Linked DNA regions of Danio rerio. The protein of the gene in region 4 interacts with the protein of the main gene of each other region in a pairwise test. Links are inferred from orthologs where the notes say so. Each region holds a gene or a part of one and is shown on either strand. Other genes may lie near its edges.

Region 1 (3,521 bases), on a different chromosome or scaffold from region 4:
AAATTACCTTTCCACAGCAGTTTATGCAAAGCTAGACACAGGAGACCGCTTTGCTTCTCCCTGCTGCCACATGGAGGGATTGGCAAAGACAATCTCCTGCTCTATTGATGTATTGACTTCTAATTAGTTTGTCAGGCGCTGTACCTTTTAAGATCACAGGAATAATTGATGATGTCTTACCTAGCCAAACAAGGAAAGCCAGAAACATTTAATATTTGGTCAAGTCTAAATAACAGTAGGCGGGGCTTATGAAATATGCAGTGTTGGTTTGAAATATTCATATATACGCTGCAAATTTGTGATGCCCGGAGCTGCAATAGTTGCACATTCAGGTTTCATTGTTGATGTCAGCACTTGAGACACACTGAGTGTGTGTGTGTGTATGTCTTTTGCTTGGCTAATATTTCCCCCTGACTGCTGTTGAGAAGAGACCCCCTAACAGTCAGGACCATCATTGTGTTTTAAAGCACCATTATCCTGCTCGTTGCTGGATATCAGCGGCTGCTCGGGCCTTAAGTAAGCCGAGCGCAGCAGTTCGAGAGTGTGAGCACTCGCTCTCCATCTCCACAGCCCAAACTTCCAGTGTCATTAAGCCCATTACATGCCCTGTGAGAATCTGCAGCTCAAACTGATGAGTCCTCAAGCAGGAGCGTGAAATATCTGATGCAGAAATTAGACTGGAGCTTCAGCAAATGCGTTCAAAGAATTGGCTGTTAAATGAGTTGCATCCTCTGGGAGATTGTATGCATAGCGTCGTACACCCAAGCATAAGGTTTGCCTGTCTGTTGACACTCGCCTATTGGCAATTACTTACACGCTGTCCATTTCTGGGTATCAACAAGAATTGAGGAGCTATAATGAATAATATCTGTGTTTTGCAGTTCCGATTATTGTAGCAATCTTATTATGAAATGCACACTATGTATTTATCTGTTCATTCTGGCGTTTTCTCAGCTCTGTGATGTTATTGTTTATGCCAAGGAAATCAAGATTGGATTCAGTCAGTTCCAAGAATACTAAACAGCTTGTGCAGATGTTTCTGTGTCTTTCATTTCCATCCCACGATTGTTATTCTAATCATTTGCTAATTAATCCACAGCCATGCACTGTTCTCTTGGTCCCCAAAATGGATTTGGATTTCTCTTACCTTCCCGAGGTTTGGGCTCCATATATATCTGAGACTGAAGATGCAGAGGGCCAGAATCAGGAACACCACACTCAGAATGATGGCGGCACACTGGTAAGTGCGATACCTGGCCTTTCTGTCCTTCTCCTTCCCCAGCTCAACCTACAGAAACATTAACATTATTGTACATATTTATATATATATATATATATATATATATATATATATATATATATATATATATATATATATATGGTGTGATTTCCGACGTTGAACGTATTGCAGCACAATGCTCAACTGACGAAGAAATAATCACACGGGCAATTTGAATTCTTCTGAGATCAGAACAAAAGGTCACATTTATTAAAATTGTCCCAAATTAAAAGTTCGTCTGTTCGATTAAATTCCCGGAGCTTACGGCCGCAAATTAATAAAGGGAGGCTTTTGTTCCACCCGAGTTCCAGCAGGGAGAGTCTAAAAGCTTACTATTCACAGTGGTGTGCTCTGCTATCTCTCAGGACTTGGCCAATCACAAACGTGAAATATGGAGGAACAAGCTTCAATTAGCAAATGTCTCTAGCCGAAACAGAAGCTTAAAGAACAGAAATAGCAGTGGTGACCAGGGATGATTCTGAGTTCAGTGGGTAATCAGAACCTTTAGTCCAGACCTCTGTCAATGCTTTGATGAAATATTGACTTATGTGCTTCATAACTGGGGTGCATCATTCTGATTTTAATAAACAGTACTATAGGTGATTCTGATACACATATCAATATTTACTTATTTGCATTTACCTACTGTTTTGATGTTTAATTCATTTATTTTCTTTCGGCTTAGTCTCTTTATTAATCCGGGGTCGCCACAGCGGAATGAACCGCCAACTTATCCAGCATGTGTTTTACGCAGCGGATGCCCTTCCAGCCGCAACCCATCTCTGGAAAACACTTTTGATGTTATAAATTGGCTAAATTCTAAATAATTTAAAGCATGATGGCTAGTTTCTTTCTGTATCCTGATACAGTTTTATTTGGCAAGTATTACATGTTATTATTATGATGTTAGATTTATAAGTCAGGGCCATGCAGCTAATCTGTTTATTTGAAGAGTCTGGAAGCAAACATGCAAGTGCCTTCTGAAATATTCTTCTAAAATGTGACTTTTTTAAGGCTCATGTATGTATGTTCAGTAATTTCACCATTCATTCATTTTCTTTTCGCATTAGTCCTTTTATTTATCAGGGGTCGCCACAGCGGAATGAACCGACAAATTATCCAGCATATGTTTTTACGCAGCGGATGTCCTTCTAGCCGCAACCCAACACCGGGAAACACCCATACACTCCTGCATTTACACACATACACTACAGCCAATTAAATTTATTCAATTCACCTATAGTACATGTCTTTGGACTGTGGGGGAAACCGGAGCACCCGGAGGAAACCCACACAAACAGCCGAGGCTTGAGCCAGAAACCTTCTTGCTTTGAGGTGATCCCACTTTGCCACTGTGATGCCCCTAATTTCAGTATTATGGAATAGAATAGGTTATTTTTGATTGCCTTTAAAGTCAAAGTAAATGGGTAAAGTAAAGGGTGTGTACATGAGACAGAATTGTCATTTTTGGGTGAACTATTGCTTTAATAAGATAATCAGTTTGAATGTTAGCTCATGGTAGTTATTGACACTTTGTTCAGAAAGCATGCATTTGCATATTTGTGTTACTTCAGCAACTTTACAAGCTAGCAGGCTATTAGTATTAACATTTCTGATATATGCAAAAATAGTTTTTGTATCATTAGCCTACAGTAAGTTTGGGAGGTTTGTTGCATTATTCTTTAATAAAATAGTTTGTCGCTGCAAATGCCCAGGCAATTTCCCCCAAAATCCCTTAAGCACTGCAATACTCTTCTTTGTTTTCAGAGTTATGTCTCTGAAATATTCTCTTTTTTTGCCAAGATATCTGCATAGACCAAAGTCAACGCAGTTTCCTCTGATTACTTTGGTGTTTTCTGTAGAGCGGAAAGCAGCGTCATCATTTCTTTTGCTTTGTGACAGAATAAATAACAAAATGCGGCAGACTTTATGCAAAATAGTCAAAATGTGGCTTGTGAGACAACGTCTGATTTATAGTGCAGCCTGCAGCTCTGAATAATTTTATTTATGACAAAAAAGTGACAAGGTGATAAAAAACATACAGGGCTTAAGTCCCAAAAGCCCACCCTAATGCCGCCATTGGTGGCGATTCCTGCAATCATACTTTATCTCACAGTGTGAGACACGAATCAGACAATGTCATTGGGGATATTTGGAAACCATTTCAAAAACTATAATAAATGCAAGCAGCATGTCTACTTTAATCTTTCATATAACTTTAGTGACAATGACATGTCAAAAT
Region 2 (3,816 bases), on a different chromosome or scaffold from region 4:
ATAGTCAGTGCAGTGGAATAAAAACAAAAAGGATCCTCTGTATCTTTATCGTTGTAGTTGCGGTGTGAACCATAATATTCTTTAACACTGTGGACAATCTTTAGAACCATATATTCATCGATATCTTCATGCTTGGTATGAACGCGGCAAGGCAAGTTTATTTCATACAGAGTGGCGATTCAAAGTGCTTTACATAAACAAGATTAAAAGAGACAGGGATAAGATGTTTCAGTGAAACGTTAAAAGAAAAACAATCAATAGTTATTCACTAACGCTCTGTCCGATTTGACCAGTGAGGAACAGTGACTGAGAAGGTTCTGGAAAGTGACTTATAGCCTCTCTGCGATGGAACCGCAAGGCAGCGCTCACTAAAGTAGACCTTCACTCTATAAATGTGTTGATGAGGTGATCAGTGAGTTCTGATCGGTATTAGTCATTTCCGATTGAAATTCGGCATTGTTGGAATGTGTATTTGTGTAAGTGCATGCTGTAAAACACAACCACATGCCGGTGCATTGCCAAAGAGTTTATTGATGCAAATAAATCTGTCCTAAATCAGGACATCTGGACTCTTTTGTCTGGCAGGATGAGTGTTTGACCTTCAGATCATTATGACCACAATCCATGAACACAAACTGTTGGATCATCTGGACTGTGAGCTCCTGCAAGACCGTCCTCACAGATGAAGATGATGATGAAGATGCAGGCTCTTCTCTCCCTCATGAGTCCTGATACTGCTTGACCAGTAACCACATCAGCAGAACGGTGATCAGAACAATCATGAAGTTCAGGAAGAGCTCCTGTGTGGATCGCTCCATCATGCAGACACACAGCAGCTGGAGCACGAGATCAACCTTCAGGGACACAGACACACACACACACACACATACACACACGCAGAGAGAGAGGGATAGAGATGGAAAAATAGAGCAGTATGTCGGCCACTAGGAAATTAAGCCGATCATCTGTCTGTTCTAGGCTTGAGTTTCAAACACAATTCCATCATCAGGTTAGCTATTGTCACACACACACACACACACACATACAGAACTCACACATTCACACACACACACACACACGAAAAAAACAATAGTAATTTATTGTAAATACTGTTGTGCTTTTAGAATATATTATAGTCAAGTCTATTAGACTGTTTATATTATAGTACTGTATCGACAATGCTTTAACTCATTCACCAGCATACTGTAGTATTAACTATAATGAAACTGTAATAAGTACTGTAGTTTACCTTAGTTTTTACTACAGTAAACTGGTATGTTGTAGTATAGTGTACTCTATAGTTGTAGAAATCTACTTGTACACAAAAGGTAATCATTTGTTTACATTGCTATAGTTGTTGTGTTACCATAGCAACTGTAAAAATCCCCACAACAGATTTGCTACTATAGCTGTTGTGTTACCATAGCAACTATAGAATCACCTCAACAGATTTGTTACTATAGCTGTTGTGTTACCATAGCAACTATAGAATCACCACAACAGATTCGTTACTATAGTTGTTTTGTTACCATAGCAACTATAGAATCACCACAACAGATTCATTACTGTAGTTGTTGTGTTACCATAGAAACTATAGAATCACCTCAAAAGATTTGTTACTATAGGTGTAGTGTTACCATAGCAACTATAGAATCATCACAACAGATTTGTTACTATAGTTGCTGTTACCATAGCAACTGTAGAATCATCACGACAGATTTGTTACTAGTCTTGTTGTTACCATAGCAACTATAGAGTCACCACAATAGATTTGTTATTATTGTTGTTGTGTTACCATAGCAACTGTAGAATCACAACAACAGATTTGTTACTATAGTTGATGTGCTACCATATCAACTGTAGCATCACCACAACAGATTTGTAACTATAGTTGTATTACCATAGCAACTGTAGAATCATCATGACAGATTTGTTACTATAGCTGTTGTGTTACCATAGCAACTGTAGAATCACCATAACAGATTTGTTACTATAGTTGTGTTATCAAAGCAACTGTACAATCACCACAAGTATTATACTTTACTGTTTACAATAGCACAGTTCAAAAACTATAGTAATTACTATGGTATTCATTAATTTGGTAGTTTTTTCCTATTTAAACTCATCTCCAAATGATTTAAAAACTTCAACACTAAATCAAACTAAGCACACTTGTTCATAAAGAGCATTCTAAACATGTTTGATCAAAGAAAGAGTGTTTTGTGTGATGTGATGTATTGATTCGTTCAGGTGAGTCGTCTGGAATTCCAAGATGCATTTAAACACTCAAAGCACTGAATGAATCTCTCTGCAGGTGATTCAGTGAGTCGCTGTGGTGAATGGTGTGGATCTTCTTACCTGCTCTGCGTCGTCTCTGTGTGTTTCAGATGATTTTAAAGTCTCTGTGTGCTTTTTCTACATCTCTGGGCTCTTAAAGCAGTGGTGCTGGACAGAAACGAGTGGATTGGACCAGAGGATGGTGATGTCACAGGTATTTAACATCAGCTGCTGGGTTTATTGAGGGATTGACTGAGATATGAGAGTCTCTGTGGATCAGGGTTATTCTGCGGCTCTATTGTCTTCTGGTGGAAGTAACAGGAGAGTAGTGGGTTATATGTAATCTGGATTACAAAATCAAGTATTTGTAATCACTCTAAATTACATGCTAAAAATGTTGGGTTACACACAATTTGTGTTGGGACAACATGAAGGAATTAAGTTAACTTATTAGCTAATACAAATTTGAGTGGATTAAACAAGTTGTCCCCAAAATTAATCAGGGATCATCACGTTGGAATGAACCACCTACTATTCCAGCATATGTTTTACACAGCGGATGCCCATCACTGGGAAATGGCAATATATTGTTGACAATTTTGCATATATTGTCATTTGCACTTATTGTTTAGATGAAATATTTGATGTCATGATGAAATTACTCTCAACTTTTCAATACTGTAATCAGGACTAGGCTTTAATGAAATACATGTAACAATGTCATATTTAAAAATTTAATTATAAGTAACTAATTCATAATAATATAACACCTCTGGGATCAGTTAAACTTATTAAAGAACATTTAAAGACAAATATTTTTGGCCAAGCTTTTAATTAACAATATGGAGAGCTGGTTTTACATTGGTGCCTCAGTACTTGGATTTTTAACCTGTTTTTATTGTATACAGCATAAATGTGATAAAAGTAATCTAAATGTAATCCAAAAGGAGTAAGATTACATTAGCATAAATTTAATCCAAAAGTAGTAAGATCAGATTAAAATAAATGAGTAATAAAAATAATGTTAAAACAATCCAAATGTAGTCAGATTACATTAGCATACATGTAATAAAAGTAATCTAAATGTAATCCAAAAGTAATAGATTATATTACCATAATATTGTAATAAAAATAATCTAAATGTAACCCATAAGTAGTGAGAATACATTACCATGAATGTGTAAACAAGTAATCCGAAAGTAGTGAGATTACATTACCATAAATGTATAACGAACATAATCTAAATGTAATCCAAAAGTAGTGAGAGTATATTAACATAAATGTGTAATAAATGTACTCCAAATGTAGTCAGATTACATTATCATAATAGTGTAATAAAAGTAATCTAAAAGTAATCCATAAGTAGTGAGATTACATTACCATAATTGTGTAATCAAAGTAATCTAAATGTCACACAAAAGCAGTTAGATTACGTTAGCATAAATGTAATCCAAAAGTAGTCCGATTACATTACCATAAGTGTTCAGTCTAACAGATTACATTACCGACTACAAACTTTGCTACGTAATTTGTAAACAG
Region 3 (3,521 bases), on a different chromosome or scaffold from region 4:
TCACCACCATGATGCTAGTGTGTGTGCATTTACTTACGCTCCAGAGCCAGTTCACCACCAGGAACTGTTTGTCCAGCTCCAGCATATAGACAACGAAGAAGATGATGGCAAAGACCATCTCGCAGATGGCGACCGCTGTATACCCTCCGTACATCGATGCGGCATAACAGATCAGGATGATGAAACTGAGGAGCTACAGACAAACAGAAAACAAGCATTTACATCAGTATGGATGTGAACATTTTGATCAGCAAGTCAAAAATTTGATGGTTAGCATTAGCTGTTAGCCTCTGCTGCATTTACATCATTGTGCAGGCCTAAGGCTTGTTTCTTTATTGCAGTGTTGTCATTGAGACTGTAATGAAACAAACATTGGCATACAGATCAGTTTTTTTATGTATTGTGTATGCCACAATAATCAATATATCGACTTATCGTGCAATACTTGGAGATGATCTCAATCATTTTGTTGCCATTGCAATACAGTGCATCTGGAAAGTATTGATAGCGCTTCACTTTTTCCACATTTGTTTATGTTACAGCCTTATTCCAAAATAGATTAAGTTCATTTATTTCCTCAACATTCTACACACAATACCCCATAATGACAATGTGAAATAAAGAGTTTGTGAAATTGTTGCAAATTTATTAAAAATAAAAAACCTCAAAAATCACAACAAAAAAATTCTAAATACTCTGTTGATGCACCTTTGGCAGTAATTACAAACTCAAGTCTTGTTGAATATGATGCCACAAGCTTGGCACACCTGTCTTTGGGAATTTCTGCCCATTCCTCTCTGTAGTACCTCTCAAGCTCTATCAGGTTGGATGGGAAGTGACGGTGTACAGCCATTTTCAGATCTCTCCAGAGATGTTCAATAGGATTTAGGTCTGGGCTCTGGCTGGGCCACTCAAGGACATTCACTGAGTTGTTGTGAAGCCACTCCATTAATATTTTGGCGGTGTGCTTTGGGTCATTGTCCTGCTGGAAGATGAACCGTCGCCCCAGTCTGCGGTCAAGAGAACTCTGAAGCAGGTTTTCATTCAGGATGTCTCTGTACATTGCTGCATTCATCTTTCCCTCTATCCTGACTAGTCTTTCAGTTCCTGCTGCTGAAAAACATCTCGACAGTATGATGCTGCCACCACCATGCTTCACTGTAGGGATGGTATTAGCCTTTTTCATATTTAGTTTTGTAAGAAATTTAGTTTTTTATGGTCTGAGAGTCCTTCAGATGCCTTTTGGCAAATTCCTGGCGGGGAGTGGCTTCTGTCTGGCCACTCTACACTCTCAGAAAAAAAGGTACACGGTGGTACAAATAACGTTCCTTGAGGGCCAGTTTTGTACCCGTGTAAAAGTTGTACCTTATATGGTACAGAAAAGGCCTCTTATGATACTGTTCTGTACCTTTTATGGTACAATTGAAATGAAGGTACATAATTGTTCTCATAAAAAGGTACACTCTCAGAAATAAAGGTACAGGAGCTGTCACTGGGGCAGTACCTTTTCAAACGGTACATATTTGTACCTGAAGGGTCCATAATGGTACTTCAGAGGTACTAATATGCACCTTTTAGGTACCACTGTAGACTCTTTGAGTACAAATATGTATCTTTTGAAAAGGTACTGCCCCAGTGACAGCTCCTGTACCTTTATTTCTGAGAATGTACATAAGTGTTGGACAACTCCTTCTTTGTTACAATATCTATGAAAATAAATATTACTGGAGAGGCAAAGTGATTTATGAATAATTTCCATATCAAAACAAGAATCATCATTTAAAAGCATATGTTTAAATAAACTCATAAACAATAATTATTAAGTTCTATAATGCAATAATACAAAACAACTGGTACACATCATGTTCTTAAAGGTACAAACTGCAATGGTACAAATTTGTTTCTTTGTCTTGAGGTACAATTCTGTCCCATAAAAAGGTACTGCCCCAGAGACAAGGGTTTGTACCTTCTTTGGTACAACATTGTACCACTTTTTCTGAGAGTGTACCATACAGGCCTGATTGGTGGATTGCTGCACAGATAGTTGTCCTTCTGTAAGGTTCAATTACCTGTAAAATAATGGTTTAGAATCTAGACTGCAGACAATTACCTGTAAAATTATGTTTATTTTTTTACAGTGTACTTTATATAGAGGGCAGAGTGTTGCTAAAGAACTACTGAGAGATTTCAGCTGCTGTCTGGGCTTTCACTGCCTTTCTGCACCTCCCTTCCTTCATGTGTTCAATACTTTTTCTCTGCGTCATTTCATTTATTACGAATTTTTAAACTAATTAGTTTTGTTTTCTTTACATAAATGGATTTCTTTGGCTAATATCAACATCTTATCTGAGCAAAATGGTGACGTGTTCAATACTTATTTTCCCTGCTGTATATAACAGAACTCATTTTGCTGGTCTTTTCTTAGCATCAGTGTGCTTCCCCCAATTCATTTGGCTTTTTAGTGTGGAAATTCTCCCTTGTAAGTACAGTACGTCATTCATGTTTGCTGCCAAATCACCAAAGCTTTTTACTACCGTTCACAATCCCTCAGAAGGACCCAGCTGCTCTAGGTGTCGGTTAACAGTGGAGCTCTGAATTTCACACATCCCCTAAAGTTTCTAAAGTTTTCAGAAGCTCTGATTGCTAAAACATGTGGCACGCACTACAGAGAGGAAAAAACAAGTGTAAACAGCACAATTCATTCAATAGAAAGTCCTTATATGGTTATAAATGAAGAATACATTTGGGAGTACAGGGATATTATGAAGTTAAAATCAACTCAGTCCTTGCTTAAACTCAAACAGTCGATACATGTATTTGCAGATCCTGTCAGGCAACACTAAACTCTAAATCAACACTGCCAGCAACGTCTACTAGGAGAAGTTTGTTTCTTGTTCGTCAGACTTCATGGATAATCTCTGGCTCATGGTTTGTTTTTAAGCTCCAAGGAAAGGAAAACAATGTGATATTTGAATTCTTTTTAACATGTTTACTAGGGCTGGGTGGTCAATACTGTGGAATAAATTGTTAACCGTAATAAATGTAATTTTTTTGTGTATGCCGCAAGATGTAAACAAGTAGGCGTTACTAATTAACATATAATGTGCGTGAGGGAATCGCTGACAGGAGCTTAACTTACATCAATTGGTACCGGACTGCACAACAAAATTATGAATTATTTCAGTTTTATTTATAATCAGAGTCTGAAAGATCATTATCATATAATGATATCATTATCATTATTTTGAAAAATGATAATTAAACATTCATTCATTTTCTTGTCGGCTTAGTTCCTTTATTAATCTGGGGTCGCCACAGCAGAATGAACCACCAACTTATCCAGCATATGTTTTACCCAGCCTATGCCCTTCCAGCTGCAACACATCACTGGGAAAATAACTAAACATATTAAGTTGAACTTACTTTTTAGTTTAAATTAAGTTGCAAAATTGTATTACTATTATTCAAATAAGTTAAAGTAACATTAAACATTAGTTGTAGTGACCTTTTGTCATATACAA
Region 4 (3,521 bases):
AAAATAGATGACAAATTTTTGGAAGTTTTCAGAAATGATTGAGAGTATTGAGGAGTCAGTTTAATAGTAAAGAGACTGATGTCATGCTCCTTTTTTAAAGGTATTTTGTAGTATTTTTATAATAGACAAATACTGTATTTTCTTTTGATACATTTTGTGACTGCTGTATTCTGTAGTTTATTTCAATTCACTTAAACTTAAGGTATTAGGTATTTTATTTTAAAATACATTTAAATGTATTTATGCCTAACCCTGGTTTAGATAAACTACTCTAAAACGCAGAACATTCTATTAATGTATTTTAAAGAATGTTTGCTTTGAGAGAAACTTTCCAGAATATTTGCTGAAGTTCTGAGAACGTTTATGGAGTGTTAACGACAGTTCCTAAATCAGACATTCCATTCTATAATTCTCATGTGGATTCAGTACAGTACCTGCCAAAGGCAAAAACAATGGTGAGGAGGGGAATAAGTTTAAGCAGATCCTGATTCAGGTAGGCAGCCATGACAGTCAGTTGGAGAAAGTAAAGCAGGAAAAGCGAGATGGAGTCCTCCACATAACGCTGATGAACAGCAACCTGCTTAACTTCCTTCTCCCCTTCAAACCGCGGTTTCAAGGAGCGATACCACAGACGGGACACGCCAAGAACCAACATACCTAAGATTTAAAAAGAAAAAAAAGAGAACAATGGTTACCTGTGATTTAATGATTCAGCTCTGTTTGCACACTAAAAGACACGCTGTATTTTTCAATGTAAGAACTCAAGCCTCATTTCCCTTCTTACTCACCAAGAACAATTGGTATGACTGCAAAAACTGAGCAGCGCAGGGTGTAGACCAGCCTTAGGGGGGCACTGTCCAGTAGAGGAGCATCAAAGGGCAGGAAAACATAGCCACCCCACACCAACAAGGGGAAGATCAAAGCTGAAGTGAACATGGAAGCTCCCAGTTTAAGAGCATCACGGTTACAGCAACCACAGTTACCTGAAAGAAAAAAAAAGATTTCATAAATTCATCATGGCGGTGAGTTCACAGTGTTGGTCCTTTTTCATTTTGTATAAAGAGGTGGTCACATTAACAAGATTTTCAGATTGCCTAGTATTGTATTTGTATATCATAGAATTCACTTGCAGCTAGTCTAGACACTGAATTTGCGTTCCTAAATTCAATCGATTAAAATATTTGCATAGGAAAATCTTTTAAGCATCAAGTCAAAATCTCAGTTATGCAGCTCCAAATTGAAATGCCCTAATTAGGACTAATAAGAATGAAAAAGTTGAATTATGTTTGTCATACAATCTTTTACATTGCATTTGAACCCTTTATAATGTTCTCAATGAAATACCCATTGGAAAAACCCTGGAGTGTTACTGAAAAAATTATATTTAAAAAATGCCAATAAAGTAACTATGTGTTCTATGCCCGTAAATAAGTTAAGGATTATAAAAATTGGGTGGCACGGTGGCTCACAGCAAGAAGGTCACTGGTTTGAGTCTCAGCTGTGCCAGTTGGCATTTCTGTGTTTGCACGGGATTCCTCCTGGTGCTCCGGTTTCCCCCACAGTCCAAATACATGCAGTAAAGGTGGATTTAATAAACTTAATTAGCAATAGTGTATGAGTGTATATGAGTGTGTGTGTGTGTGTGTGTGTGTGTGTGTATGGGTGTTTCCCAATACTGGGTTGTGGCTGAAAGGGCATCCGCTGTGTAAAACATATGCTGAAATAGTAGGCAGTTCATTTCGCTGTCGCAACCTCTGAAATAGAGACTAAGTCAACGCAAAATGCACATTAAAGTGAATTTTATATACATTTTTACATAAACTACATGAATAAATGTACATGAATAAATGAATGAATGAATATTAAAATTCTACATTATTATCTACAACATTAACACAAAAATAAAGCTAAAATGGAAACCCAAGCCAGATATTTTCAATATGATTTTAGGAAAGTGATTTTAAGCAACATATTATTATAAATGTACAGTTTAAATTAATATCATTTTAAATTATTATTAATTACTTTTTTAGTTTTAAATGACTGCTAGATGATGGCAAATGTAATTTATATTGTCAATTTATATTGTAATGTATATTGCAGGGCTAGAAATATCTTTGCATCTCTAAAAACATTTATAATCAGTTAATAAATATGGTACTGCTTAGGGCTGCACAATATATTGTTTCAGCATCGATATCGCAATGTGATCATTCACAATAGTCACGAGTATACGAAATACTAAGTCTGGATTATAATTATATTATATAATAAAATAAATAATATAATAATAAAAGTGCTTTTTGAGGCCTGTGACTGTGTGAGGGATTTAAAAGCATTCAGGCCTAAAAAATTGTACCGATTTAATTGTTTATAAACAAAGACTATGGAGTATTATTTTACATTTGATTATCCAACTACTGTATACCTGAATACAGTTAGACTCCTCAGGAAAACAATCAAAAGGCTGTTTATTTACTTTGTATCTTTTTCTGCTACTTAGGTCATGATGTCATATCGGTGACCTATGTAATACCGTTTCTGGGCCCAAGCTGCTACTTATTTGAGAAAAAGCAGTTTTTAATATTATAAAAAACATTTTAAGGTCAAAATTCTTAGCTCCTTTTAAGCTATATTTATTTTCGATAGTCTACAGAACAAACCATTGTTATACAATAACCTGCCGAATTACCTTAACCTGCCTAGTTAACCTAATTAACCTAGTTAAGCCTTTAAATGTCACTTTAAGCTGTATAGAAGTGTCTTGAAAAATATCTAATAACATATTATTTACTGTCATCATGGAAAAGATAAAATAAATCAGTTATTACAAATGAGTTATTAAAACTATTATGTTTAGAAATGTGTGTAGAAATTAGGGAAAAAAAAAACAGGGCTAATTATTCTGACTTCAACTGTATATATATATATATATATATATATATATATATATATATATATATATATATATATATATATATATATATATATATATATATATATTGCAATTGTGATTTTTGAAATACGGTGCTTGGTAAAAGTTTATTATTACAGTTTATGAGTCTCCCTATACAGCTTGATATAGCTACTCGGAAGCCGCTTCATGTGACGTCGCACTTAACAAGCAGATTGAATTTGTCTATGCCTGTAGGTTGTTTCTTTTATTTTATGCATATGCACTCACCCACATAATCATCCCAACCAATATAAAATGATAAATTCTTTCCAAATAGTTATTCAACACTTCTACTTAAAATGTATTCATAACGCAATGTATATCGCAGAAAAAAATAAAAATAATTAATTTTGTGCAGCCCTATAAAACATTAATGAGCTTACAGCAGTGTGATCTGTGTGTATCCGGCCAGTCCTGGTAATACTCTTCTAGCGGTGTGCCATGTGTCCCATGTGACCCAAGGAAGGGGCTTCTCGCTTCCTCTTCTTGATCTCTCCAGTGTTCTGCAGCCTCCTGCTGACTGGTGGAGCGCAGGATGGTGATGCTGGGGCTGAAGACTCGAGCT
Region 5 (3,521 bases), on a different chromosome or scaffold from region 4:
GAGTCTAAATATAAAGGCATAGGTAGGGAACACGATGCACATACTTCTTTTTGTTCTCAAGAAGGAAGTACAGAGCAGCCCTAGCATCATGCCATAAAGTTTTGATCAGCAGGTTTCCTTCAGCAGGCTTTTAAAATCTAGTTATTTTGCTAGTGCTTGACAGATTCTGTGCTTGATTTATTCCTGCAGCTCCTAATCAAATGTTGGAGGCTGTCACCCTGTCGGGTATTGTCGCCTGTGTCCTAAGCATCCTGTGTGGCGCTCTAAATTTACTGCGGGGAGTCCATGCGATTGAAAGCGTATTGCAGGTAAGTTACAGTAAATCATGCATTAATAGAAATGCTGCTGCTTCGTTTTTAAGCTTTGTGTCTTTTATTGATGAACGCATTGGACTCGACATTACTCTTAAATGCATAAGTGCCGTCGTAATAAAATAAATCTCAACTAATGGATGGTAACAGTACACTTGAATAATTTGTCCGAGTTTGCATTTAGATGTAATGTGATTTTTCCCTCTTCCATAAACAGAACAGTTTTTGCTTGGCTTTGAATATTGTGCTGATAAGTGAGCCCTCGAGTCCTGACACTTAATTCATCCTCCGTATTAGCACATGGCTTCCTGGTGTAATTTGTTCACTATTTAACGCAGCAACCCTGTCTTTCCTCTTTTTCTGCTTCATCTGCAGAACGACGATGAAGACTTTAATTACGTAATTGCTTTTTTCCTTGGAACCGCAGCGTGTTTGTATCAGGTAAGTGACGGCGGTCGGAGCGTGAGTTACTATCGGCCTGCCAGGCTTTATTTTCTATGTACGCCATTTCGGCCTGACCAACCAATGCTTATATATCACACTTTTTCCTCACTGTCATGTAAAAGAGTAGCTTCTGGAAATTAGGAAAATGTTTCCTTTTAACTTGCATCGAATCTGCTGGTATTGTGGATGCTTCTTTAGAATAAGAATCATTCAGTGACATATTAAAAGACTTTATTTAAGTAGATAGTTGATTTAAAAATGACCTTTTACCTCAACATTTACTCGTCCTCATGTGGTTTGAAAATTTAACGAGTTTTTTTGTTCTTTTCAACACATTCATTTTCCTTTAGTTTTGTCCCTTTATTCATCAGGGGTTACCACAGCGAAATTAACTGCCAACTTATCCAGCATATGTTTTACACAGTGGATGTTTTACACAGTCCGGCTGCAACCCAGTACTGGGAAACACCCATACACACTCATCCACACACATCCACTATGAACAATTTAGTTTATTAAATTCACCTGTACCGCATGTCGTTAGACTGTGAAGAAATCCAATGCACCTGAAAAAAACCTACACGCACACGGGTGCCCAGTCTCGAAAATAGAGTTAAACCCAGCCCAGACTCGAATCAGCAACCTTCTAGCTGTAAGGCGACATTACTAACCACTGTCGCCCCTTTTTATAACACAAATTAAGATATGTTGAATAATGCTGGGAACCATTCACTTTTCCTACTATGAAGTTAATGGGTCCCAGCAACCAGCATTATTCAAAATCACTTATTTTGTGTTCAACTGTAGTAAGAAACCTAAACAGGTTTTGAGCAAATGAAGGATGAGTAAATGATCACAAATGATGTCTTCAGAAAACAGAATCACACTAGTACTTCATTTGGTCAAAAGTGACTAAAGACCACACATGTAACTTTTACACCATTAAAAACAATAGGATATTTACAATAATTATTATTTAAAAGGTTTTGAATCAGTGCAGTATTTTGTAATTAGAAAAAGAAAAACCCGTTCACTGCTGTATATTTTTTCAGCCTTGTGGCTGATTTGTAGATTGTACACACACAAATTCTCACAAGTGTAGTTTTTTTTCTAAATTATCAATTCATTTCTTATGGGGAGTCCTCTTTGACCAAAAGAATACAAGTTTGACTTTTTATGCCACTTCGCCAGCTTGAATCTTGCCCCAATTTTTTATATACATTGCAAAAACTTAGTTTTGCATAATTGTGATGAAGCTGTAATAAAAAAAAAATTCAACATTTTCCTACGGGACCAACAGGTTTAAGTATCACAGCACAGCCCCAAAATAATAATTTCTTCTTTAAGAAAAAGTCAGAATAAGCCAATTAATAAATTTTTACATTTAATATGTTCATTAAACTGATGACAGTGGAACTTTGTCACCTGTATTTTGTCTTTTTTTCACAAAAATGAATTTAAAACATTAATACAGATAACATACTTGCATTAAATACTTTTCATTCATTCACTTTCCTTCAGCTTAGTCCCTTTATTTATCAGGGGTCACCACTGTGGAATGAACCGCCAACTTATCCAACATATGTTTTACACAGAGGATGCCCTTCCAGCTGCAACCCAGTACTGGGAAACATCCATACACACTCATTTACACACACTTATACACTACGGCCAATTTTATTTACCCAATTCACCTATATTCTGTCTTTGAACTGAGGGAAACTGAAGCACCCAGAGAAAACCCACACAAACACGGGGAGAACATGCAAACACAGAAACACCAACTGACTTTGAAATGCCAAATGTGACTTTCACCATTAAAAACAATGGGATTTTTACAAATTATTATTATTGAAAATATTTTTTTTTAATTAGTGCCGTGTTTGTAATTAGAATAGAGAGGCAGATTAGCACAATCTGGTTTAAAAAAAAAAAGAAGAAAACCCCTTCACTGCTGTATATGCTCAGAAATATAGTTTTAATTTTTGTAAATTCCATATTTATTTCCTATGGTCAATCATCTTTGACCAAAATAATACATGTGTGACTTTATTTATGCCCACTTTGCCCGCTTGAATCTTGCCCCCAGTTTTTGTATGTATATATTGCAATAGCTTACAAAGTTTCTTACAATTCCGATGAAGCTGTTACTTAAAAAAATTCAAGGAGACCCCGGGGGGTTAAGGATCACAGCACAGCCCCAAAATAATAATAGTTAACTGTTAGCAATTCTTGTATTAAAACAGATAATATACTTGCATTTAATACTTTTGCTTATATAAAGTGCTTTTATAAAGAAAGTGATGTGACAAAAAACAAGACGACTTGACTTTGACTATCAAAAATTGTAATATTGTTCAAATCTTATTCAAATGTTTTCCTCGTGTCTCTCTGTCTCTATACGCAGTGTTACTTATTCGCCTACTTCTCATTCTGGAGAAACATCAAGTCATTCCTGGCCTTCGCTCTGATCTGCCTGTGTAATATGTATCTGTATGAACTCCGGAACCTGTGGCAGATCCTCTTTCACGTGACAGTGGGAGCGTTCATCACTCTGCAGATCCACCTGAGACGACCGCAGGGCAAAGCACCTGACTATAATGTTTGACCCCCTTGAACTCTTCAAGACTGTGTAATATAGCCCAACATGGCAACTATGAATCTCTTCCCGGCCCGTTTGAGGACTTACAGTATGGATTTTGAAAAAGGTTTACAAACGGTTTTGAAAAATGTCCTGCTGTTCCACATTTAGCTACTGTTCTGGTT

The links.
Region 1: the proteins of tmem79b (region 4) and tnmd interact in binary tests that used the Homo sapiens proteins (3 or more experiments, as listed by UniProt). The two-hybrid records come from large-scale screens. The link is inferred for Danio rerio from reciprocal best matches to the Homo sapiens genes TMEM79 and TNMD.
Region 2: the proteins of tmem79b (region 4) and sln interact in binary tests that used the Homo sapiens proteins (3 or more experiments, as listed by UniProt). The two-hybrid records come from large-scale screens. The link is inferred for Danio rerio from reciprocal best matches to the Homo sapiens genes TMEM79 and SLN.
Region 3: the proteins of tmem79b (region 4) and plp2b interact in binary tests that used the Homo sapiens proteins (3 or more experiments, as listed by UniProt). The two-hybrid records come from large-scale screens. The link is inferred for Danio rerio from reciprocal best matches to the Homo sapiens genes TMEM79 and PLP2.
Region 5: the proteins of tmem79b (region 4) and sec22a interact in binary tests that used the Homo sapiens proteins (3 or more experiments, as listed by UniProt). The two-hybrid records come from large-scale screens. The link is inferred for Danio rerio from reciprocal best matches to the Homo sapiens genes TMEM79 and SEC22A.

Annotation. Positions count from the first base shown.
Region 1 is NC_133189.1:45,246,050-45,249,570, reverse strand, and holds part of tnmd (tenomodulin), read right to left. Parts: intron 1,289-3,521; coding exon 1,148-1,288; intron 1-1,147. UniProt on the Homo sapiens protein: May be an angiogenesis inhibitor.
Region 2 is NC_133190.1:51,382,745-51,386,560, reverse strand, and holds sln (sarcolipin), read right to left. Parts: upstream 2,409-3,816; 5' UTR 2,359-2,408; intron 855-2,358; 5' UTR 822-854; coding exon 720-821; 3' UTR 512-719; downstream 1-511. UniProt on the Homo sapiens protein: Reversibly inhibits the activity of ATP2A1/SERCA1 and ATP2A2/SERCA2 in sarcoplasmic reticulum by decreasing the apparent affinity of the ATPase for Ca(2+). Also inhibits the activity of ATP2A3/SERCA3.
Region 3 is NC_133183.1:59,091,823-59,095,343, forward strand, and holds part of plp2b (proteolipid protein 2b), read right to left. Parts: intron 194-3,521; coding exon 38-193; intron 1-37. UniProt on the Homo sapiens protein: May play a role in cell differentiation in the intestinal epithelium.
Region 4 is NC_133191.1:33,472,932-33,476,452, reverse strand, and holds part of tmem79b (transmembrane protein 79), read right to left. Parts: coding exon 3,340-3,521; intron 984-3,339; coding exon 789-983; intron 658-788; coding exon 435-657; exon of another isoform or gene 1-434.
Region 5 is NC_133184.1:39,568,726-39,572,246, forward strand, and holds part of sec22a (vesicle-trafficking protein SEC22a), read left to right. Parts: coding exon 1-22; intron 23-189; coding exon 190-308; intron 309-686; coding exon 687-752; intron 753-3,162; coding exon 3,163-3,363; 3' UTR 3,364-3,521. UniProt on the Homo sapiens protein: May be involved in vesicle transport between the ER and the Golgi complex.